Linked DNA regions of Macaca mulatta. The protein of the gene in region 1 purifies or fractionates together with the protein of each later gene. This does not show direct contact. Links are inferred from orthologs where the notes say so. Each region holds a gene or a part of one and is shown in the gene's direction. Other genes may lie near its edges. The genes, in order: H1-4 and LARP7.

Evidence for each region.
Region 2: the proteins of H1-4 (region 1) and LARP7 purify together in Homo sapiens (affinity purification with mass spectrometry; 3 studies listed by BioGRID and IntAct, with this or other methods). This does not show direct contact. The link is inferred for Macaca mulatta from reciprocal best matches to the Homo sapiens genes H1-4 and LARP7.

What each region holds. Positions count from the first base shown.
Region 1 is NC_133409.1:156,952,297-156,956,778, reverse strand, and holds the start of H1-4 (histone H1.4), read left to right. Parts: upstream 1-1,419; 5' UTR 1,420-1,482; coding exon 1,483-2,142; 3' UTR 2,143-3,176; coding exon of another isoform or gene 3,177-3,557; 3' UTR 3,558-3,566; intron 3,567-3,863; 3' UTR 3,864-4,482. Other genes in the region: H2BC5 (histone H2B type 1-D), read left to right, coding at 3,177-3,557. UniProt on the Homo sapiens protein: Histone H1 protein binds to linker DNA between nucleosomes forming the macromolecular structure known as the chromatin fiber. Histones H1 are necessary for the condensation of nucleosome chains into higher-order structured fibers.
Region 2 is NC_133410.1:121,876,597-121,880,412, forward strand, and holds part of LARP7 (la-related protein 7), read left to right. Parts: coding exon 1-43; intron 44-82; exon of another isoform or gene 83-150; intron 151-212; exon of another isoform or gene 213-280; intron 281-378; exon of another isoform or gene 379-447; intron 448-555; exon of another isoform or gene 556-623; intron 624-690; exon of another isoform or gene 691-766; intron 767-1,772; coding exon 1,773-1,924; intron 1,925-2,704; coding exon 2,705-2,823; intron 2,824-3,816. UniProt on the Homo sapiens protein: RNA-binding protein that specifically binds distinct small nuclear RNA (snRNAs) and regulates their processing and function.

The sequences.
Region 1 (4,482 bases):
TGGGCAAAATTTTATTTTGTTTCCATGATAAGTGGCTTGTAGTTCCACCCATACTGTTCCAGCCATACCGTTATTCAGAAATAATTCTTTTAGTTGGGCTTTCATTGCCAACCTACATACACTCTTCTTGGTTGGGCAACTACCTAAAGAGATTTACTCAGACATTGTTCAAAGGATGTTTTCAGAGGGCAATGATTTATAATAGCTTAGATAGACTCTCAAAGCTCTGCTTCTGAGATCGAAATTTGAACTTGTCATTTAATCACTACATGTCACTTATTTTTCTTTCTATTGCGCTCTGCGAAGCGTTGGGATACAGTCTTCAGGGGGATTGAAACCATACATGGTGAGTGGACTAGTCATTCCTCAACTATTCAGTAATAATAGCGGCTGGGCTTCTCTAATAATGGGAGTACATATGTTTCAATATACAGTTCTTATTTATTTTCCCTTATTATCAATGTTTGAATTCCAGCTCTAAGCTACTTTATTGCAATTTGGTTCTGAAGCATATGCCAAAAGCACTCAGCAAGGCTGCAGACAAATGCTTTAAAGAAAAGTGCACCTCCACTTCCAGTGACTTTATGAACATCACATTCGAAAATTAATCTTTTTTCAACTCTGTACCCTGAGTATATTTTGGACTTCCCTTCGTTCCCAAATACCCTGAATTCAAGGTATCTCAATCCATGGAGCAGTTGTCCAGAGAAGAGAGAAGCAACAGCCCCGCCCCCAACCCTTGGGAGCAGAAAGGGAAAGAATTATCCAAAGGAATTGTTTTAAAACTCAGATATAGCGGACAGATGTAAAACCACGGCTGCATAGATTGATGTCCCAGGGGTCCAAAACTTAATGTCAAATGAGGAATAATTTGTTTAGCATTAAACTAAACCAGTTTGATGAACTCAAATGCCCTCGGCTCAATAGGCAGGACTCTCCGAGGAGCCTGTGTTACTTCCCTCACTTAAGTGCAGATTTGTAATAAAAATCTTAATGCCAGTGGCATGCTTTTTGGATATATCAGAAGCTAACCACTTGGAGAATCATATTTGAGAGGTCAGAAAACTCCACAGTTAAAGATCGGTTTATAATTTACGAAGAAAATAGAAAGTTTTGTTTCTCTGAGTTGAAATTTGCCAAGCACGGCGGGAAATATTGCAAGTTTTTGGCACAAGGCTTTGTGCTTTCCTCATAATTTGAGATCTGCGTGAAGCCTGAGGGTTCGGGGATCATTATCTGAGAAAAACCGGGTAGTTCGGTGCAGACAATTTTTATATTTTTGGCTTTTTTTGAGGTGTAACAAACACAACTCGGGATCCGAGAGGACACTCTGCGGCTGCCAGCGAGGCGGGCTGGACAGCGCACCAATCACGGCGCAGCTCCGCCCTATATAAACGGGCGGGCGCAGCGCCGCGGCCCGAGTCCCGGCCAGTGCCTCTGCTTCCGGCTCGAATTGCTCTCTCTCTCACGCCTGCCTTCAACATGTCCGAGACTGCGCCTGCCGCGCCCGCTGCTCCGGCCCCAGCCGAGAAAACACCCGTGAAGAAGAAGGCTCGCAAGTCCGCAGGTGCGGCTAAGCGCAAAGCGTCTGGGCCCCCCGTGTCCGAGCTCATTACTAAGGCTGTTGCCGCCTCCAAGGAGCGCAGCGGTGTATCTTTGGCCGCTCTCAAGAAAGCGCTGGCAGCCGCTGGCTATGACGTGGAGAAGAACAACAGCCGCATCAAGCTGGGTCTCAAGAGCCTGGTGAGCAAGGGCACTCTGGTGCAGACCAAGGGCACCGGCGCATCGGGTTCTTTCAAACTCAACAAGAAGGCGGCCTCCGGGGAAGCCAAGCCTAAAGCTAAAAAGGCAGGCGCGGCCAAAGCCAAGAAGCCTACAGGAGCGGCGAAGAAGCCCAAGAAGGCGACGGGGGCAGCCACCCCTAAGAAGAGCGCCAAGAAGACCCCAAAGAAGGCGAAGAAGCCGGCTGCGGCTGCTGGAGCCAAAAAAGCGAAAAGCCCGAAAAAGGCTAAAGCAGCCAAGCCAAAAAAAGCGCCCAAGAGCCCAGCGAAGGCCAAAGCAGTGAAACCCAAGGCGGCTAAACCAAAGACCGCCAAGCCCAAGGCAGCCAAGCCAAAGAAGGCGGCAGCCAAGAAAAAGTAGGAAGTTCCTTTGGCCAACTGCTTAGAAGCTCAACACAACCCAAAGGCTCTTTTCAGAGCCACCCACCGCTTTCAGTAAAAGAGCTGTTACACTATCAGGGGGTGTGGCCGGGAAAACGCCGCTATTGAGGGGCGGGTCTCCCGGGAACAAAGTCGGGAGAGAGGAGCCGTTTTTGGCCAGGGGGTCATTTCGCGTTCCGTCGGCCAAGCAGGAGTGCAGCCGCGTCATTGAGCTTTTATTGCGTTTTCGAATACTGGAGTTAAAACCCATTTCGACCTCCGTAGTACTTAACACTTAGCGAGATCTGGCCTGCAAATAGCATGGGAAAAAAAGTCGGGATTTTCGCGGGCTTCTAGGCTGGGACGTATGAGTTCCGAATAGAGAACACTCAATTTCCGTGCTGGCTCCCTACAGACTATGGCAAGCAATGAAGGAGTGCAGAGGAGTACGTCTCGACACAGGTGGCATAGTACACTATTTCAACCACTGCCACAACTAAAAATTAGAAATTGACACTGCAGAAAATACTTGGTCCTTAAATGTAGCATTTGCATAGATGACTTCCCAAACGCAAAACTGCCAGACTTCCAGGGATATCCCAATTACCATGACTTCTGTATGCAACGAGTCCTATAATTTGTTAGAGGAAGAAAAGAGAACGTGAGCTCTCCTAAAGTATCTTTCAGTATACGTTCTGACACCACAACGCTAATAAAAAGTGTGATCTCAAAAACAACTGCTCCAAGAGAAGTGCACAGCTGACTTGTCTAAAGACGACTATTTATAGTAGCCTCGGGTAGTCTGGTCTGGGCTTTCTGATTGGGTAAAAGTAAAGTAATGAAATAGCCAATGAAAAGGTAGACTTTTAAGTGTCGTTTACATTGGCATTTGTGACGACACACAAAAATTAATCCAATCATAAACGAAATCTGATTAACCTCATTTGAATACCGCATCTATAAATGAACGGGGCATCGGTGGGAGTGATTATTTTCTCAGGTGTTTGCGACAGTGTTGTAATTATTAACGTTGCTATGCCTGAGCCTACCAAGTCTGCTCCTGCCCCAAAGAAGGGCTCCAAGAAGGCGGTGACTAAGGCGCAGAAGAAGGACGGGAAGAAGCGCAAGCGCAGCCGCAAAGAGAGCTATTCCGTGTATGTGTACAAGGTGCTGAAGCAGGTCCACCCCGACACCGGCATCTCTTCCAAGGCTATGGGGATCATGAATTCCTTCGTCAACGACATCTTCGAGCGCATCGCCGGCGAGGCTTCCCGCCTGGCGCACTACAACAAGCGCTCGACCATCACTTCCAGGGAGATCCAGACGGCCGTGCGCCTGCTGCTTCCGGGGGAGCTGGCCAAGCACGCCGTGTCGGAGGGCACCAAGGCCGTCACCAAGTACACCAGTTCCAAGTAACTTTGCCAAGTAAGCATCTTTACACCTAATCCCAAAGGCTCTTTTAAGAGCCACGCATGTTTTCAGTAAATGAGTTGTAATTTCATTCAAAAGGGGGATTATTGGATTTCTCAGCACCATACTACCAATCTTTAATGTTATGTTAGTACTGCAGAGGAAATACTTGGAAATTATAGGTAGTAACAATAGGTACCAGAAGTTGAGTGCTATGGGCACATACTAGATCATTAGCTCATTTAGTGTCAGATAACACTAACATAAACTGAAAGTACTGTAAGTGTACAGCTCTTTCGTTTCCGTGTGCAGATTTCCAAGTTGATCGTGATGTTGATCTGGGACTTCGTGTGGTGACGGCCCACCCTGAACACAAAAGAGCACCCTTTTGCAACTTCCTTCTGTTTGGAGCTTTCTCCACCATCACCCCCGCCCCCCGTTTTCTTGTAAAATTTTTACCATGCAGATACGTGATAACTGCAAGTAAAGGCTGAAGACAATGTGAGCTGAACACGGAAGTATTACAAAGGTTTCTGGTTTGCTTTGTAATTGGGCCAGTTTCTCTCTGAAGCTCTTAGGCGAGTAGGGGAGGAAAAGGCGGATCCTAGGCGCTGAGGTGCAGGAAAAAAGAAGCAACTTCTGAGACACCTTAAAATTATTTTGCTAAACCGTCTTTTTCAGAAAGCTATTTAATTTATAGTTTTCTTTTGGCAGCTTTCAGGTTAAAAGTTCACTAGGTAATGGCAGAAACCCAAATAGTCATTAAGGTGTCTGACTGCAGGTAGGCAATAGTTACCGCAGGACTGAAGCCCCCTTTGCAGTACAATTTACCCTTTCCTAGATGCCCCTTAGTACCTAGGACTGGATAAGGTAGAAAGGGAAAGAAAACTTCCTTCTGGCAGGATGTAGCTTCTGCTGCACAAGATAGAAT
Region 2 (3,816 bases), on another chromosome or scaffold:
ATAAAATGGGAGAAGAAGTTATACCATTAAGAGTACTATCAAAGTAAGTCTGTGGTTTAAATCCTGTCATTAGCTTAACAATCCATCACCATTGCTAAAGTGCAATTCCAATTTGTGTTCAACAGAGTTGCATATTAGCAACAGTAGTGGCCTGTAGCAAAGAACTGCACACAATGTGGGCGTTAACGCAATCGATGATTAAGTAGGAACCACCACACTCAAACATGGAAGCACTTATTTTTGTCTTACCACAGCAAGTGCCTCCATGTTAAAGTAGAGGGGGCACCTTAACAGACTTAAAAATACAAAATAAAGCTTAAATAAACGAGAATAAAATCCTTTTCTAAAAACCTTATAAAAATGTAAAAGGAAGACTTACCATCACCAAAACATGGAAGCACTTACTTCTTTAGTTTCAAAGCAAGTACATCCACGTTTAAGTGGTGGGAAGCCCAGTCTTGGACAAACTTAGAATCCTTTAACCTGTAACAAGCTTAGTAAGCTTGAAACACAGTAACAAAAAAAATTAACAAAAGGTGTGCTGACTTGGAGACACCTCCACTGAAACATGGAAGCACTTACTTTTGTTTCACACAGCAGGTACCCCCATGTTAAAGCAAAGGGGATCCCTTCAACCTCTTAAGGAGAGTGAAGTTAGCATGTTCTATTTTGGAGAAGTAAGTTGGATTCACTCCTACTAAAACATGGAAGCACTTACTTATTTTAAAGTCACAGAAAGCACTTCCATGTTAAAGTTGAAGGGAGCCCACCCACATACAACTTCTTTGGGACTTGAGAGTAGTTAAAGCTGAGGAGAAAGAAAACAAAATGGCATACCTTTTGAAGAAAAATATTTCCTTACCTTCCTGAATTAGTTCCCAAAGATTCCTGTCCTCCTCCAGAAGGGTAAAAGGCAGGGACTTCAGCCACTTCTATTTATACTATTCTTAACTCCTGAATTCCTTTTGCCTTTTTATCTCAGAGAATCATTACAAGGGCCTTTTGTTATTTTAATGTATCAGCTCTTGGGGAATGTATGATCCTGGGTGGGTCTGGATCCTTTTTTTTTTTTTTTTTTTTTTTTGGAAGTATACAGATGTCAATGTTAACAGCTAAAACCATTACCACAAGATATCTTCCTCTTTAAAAAAAAAAAAGGAAAATCTATCTGCTTGTTTGATGGCATAGATTAGGGTAACAATGAGTGCTCCCACTAAGCCAAGAGAGGCATTGTGTTTCTATCTGGAGGAACTCTAGCTGTTTGAAGAAACATCTACATGTTAAATATATGTAAATAAATAGAATGCTTCCATGGGGTGTTTTGTTCTACTTAGAAATTCTTTTTGATTCAAGTAAATACTAAGGAATGTTATCTCTCAAATTGGAAGCAGTTTAACAAATCTTTAATCTCGGGCTTTTCCCACAGAGATGACTGATTTAGTAAATGTTACTAGTTAAGGAATCAATGCTAAAATGTTACTTTTATAAATTAAAATACTTCAGACACACTCAAAAATGTAATTGGCAATCTTAAAACGTTTAATCTGAATATTGGGGGAAGAGGAACTCCCTTAGCTTATTTGCTAAATGTCTTTAGAACCCAGGAAATATTTTGAATATGTGTTTAAAGAAACAAGAAAGTTGGGTGGAGGAGTTACTCCAAGTCATTGTGAATGTATATATTTAGATATTCCCATATTTACTTTTTATATTTTAATATTTTTTTTTATATTTAGTCGTCTATAATCACTATTTCATTTCTTTCCTTGCAGGAGCGAATGGATGGATTTGAAAAAAGAGTATTTAGCGCTACAAAAAGCTAGCATGGCTTCTTTAAAAAAAACAATATCCCAAATAAAATCAGAGTCAGAAATGGAAACAGACGGTGGAGTACCTCAAAAGACTGGAATGAAAAATGAAAAAAGTAAAGATCACTGATAGTTTTGACTTATAATGTACAGTTTTGACTTATAATGTACTTATGTATGAAAATGCTATCTCTGAGTTGTTACAAGATAAACTTTAATTTTAAAAAACTTGATTATTCTGTGTCATTATTAGAACAATTCTTGATTTGTTAAGTTATCCAGATATGTTATTTACTCTTGATATAAGAACATTTAAAAGGCTCATTTAAAACAATTTTTTAAATAACCTGAGTTTTCTCTACAGTTTTCATTTAAGCACATGAGTGCAGTTTGTAGACTGAACAAGTTTGTAGGAATGAAGATTGTAGTTCTCACCTGTAATTTCATTCTGTAGTATGAACCACAAGCAGGAATAAGTTAAAGCAAAATTCTTACGAATTCAAAATTAGGATACATCTTAAATTATCATTTCTTGTAAAAATAAATGATGCTCACGTTGGAATAATTATTTAAAACAGTATCCTATAATTTTTTTTTAACTTTATTGAGTTAAAATTTGCTGTTCCTTTGTGCAGGGAGAAGGGGCAAACTTAAAGACTACCAGTGCTCTTCTAGCAGTAACAGTTTGCATGTAGAATAATAAACCTTTCTGGATTTTATTTCATGGTATTTTGAAATAAGCAGTATGACATATAAAATAAACTTTATTTTAAAATTAAATACGTTTTAAATTATTTAAATCTGCCTCAGGAATTATTCTAAGATAGTCCTCCCAAGTATTAAATTGTTAAGTGTAAGAGATTTAGTGCTGGTCTTTTTCCTCTTCTAATCAACAGCCAACAGTGAAGAGTGTCCCACCCAGGAGAAAGTTAATGCAACAGGACCACAGTTCGTGAGTGGAGTGATTGTGAAGATCATTAGCACAGAGCCTCTACCTGGCAGGAAACAAGTCCGGGTAATGATTTTGAGCCCGTAGGGTATTTGTTCCTTTCTTGTCTTAACTTCCCTGTGTGATAATGTTTTGAATATGGAAGATAAATCAAATTAGAATTTGTATCTCTATGGTAAACTACCTGTACAGTTTTAATTCCATGGTAACTCTTAGGTTTAATTTTGAAGCAAAAACTAGAGACTGAAATTCTTCACTGAGTCCATTTTATAGTAAGCACAGTTTAAACATCCTTCTTTATAGGAAAATTGTAACTTTTGCTTATTTTTATTGGCACGGATTTATTTTTTTGTATTACCTATGTGCTGATTATCTTTAAAATTGTAATTATAGAAAAGTGTAAAATATTTTTGAAGACCTATAGAAATCTTTCACACATGTGCCAAAAAACCCATAGTTCTATATAATTTACGCTACAAATTGCTGTACACACAGGTTTATAATCTTTTTTTCGTTTTGTACAGTCTATCTTCTATAGCCTTTTATACCACACTGGTAGCAATACTTCTTTCTATTAGGGAAAAGTAAGTATATACTTTTATGTGAGAGTACCGTATCTTATTTACCCTTACCCTGCCTGTGACCCATTTAAGTCAATCCTTTTCTTTTTAAAAAGTGTGAAATGCTCTGTAACATACCACATATTTTAAGTATTTTCTTATACTGACATTCATCATCACTTAGTATATTGTTTTGGTTTCACATAGACTCATCAGTCACAGGTTTTAACTTGAATATCATTGAGGTGGTTGTTTATCTGTAAGCACTCCTTATCTGAAATGCTGTCCTACAATCCTATAGCTGTCACTAAGAAACAAATTTTGATTCTCTTTCCAATATTGGTGAAGGATTTGGCCAAATCCAAATTGCTATTACCAACTTGCATTTCAGGAGACAGCTGAAAATTGAGGGATGTAAATACCGCTCTGGTTAATCAGATTGCAAAACATTTAATAAAAAAAATTACTCAGTTATTTGTAATCACTCATTAAATAACTT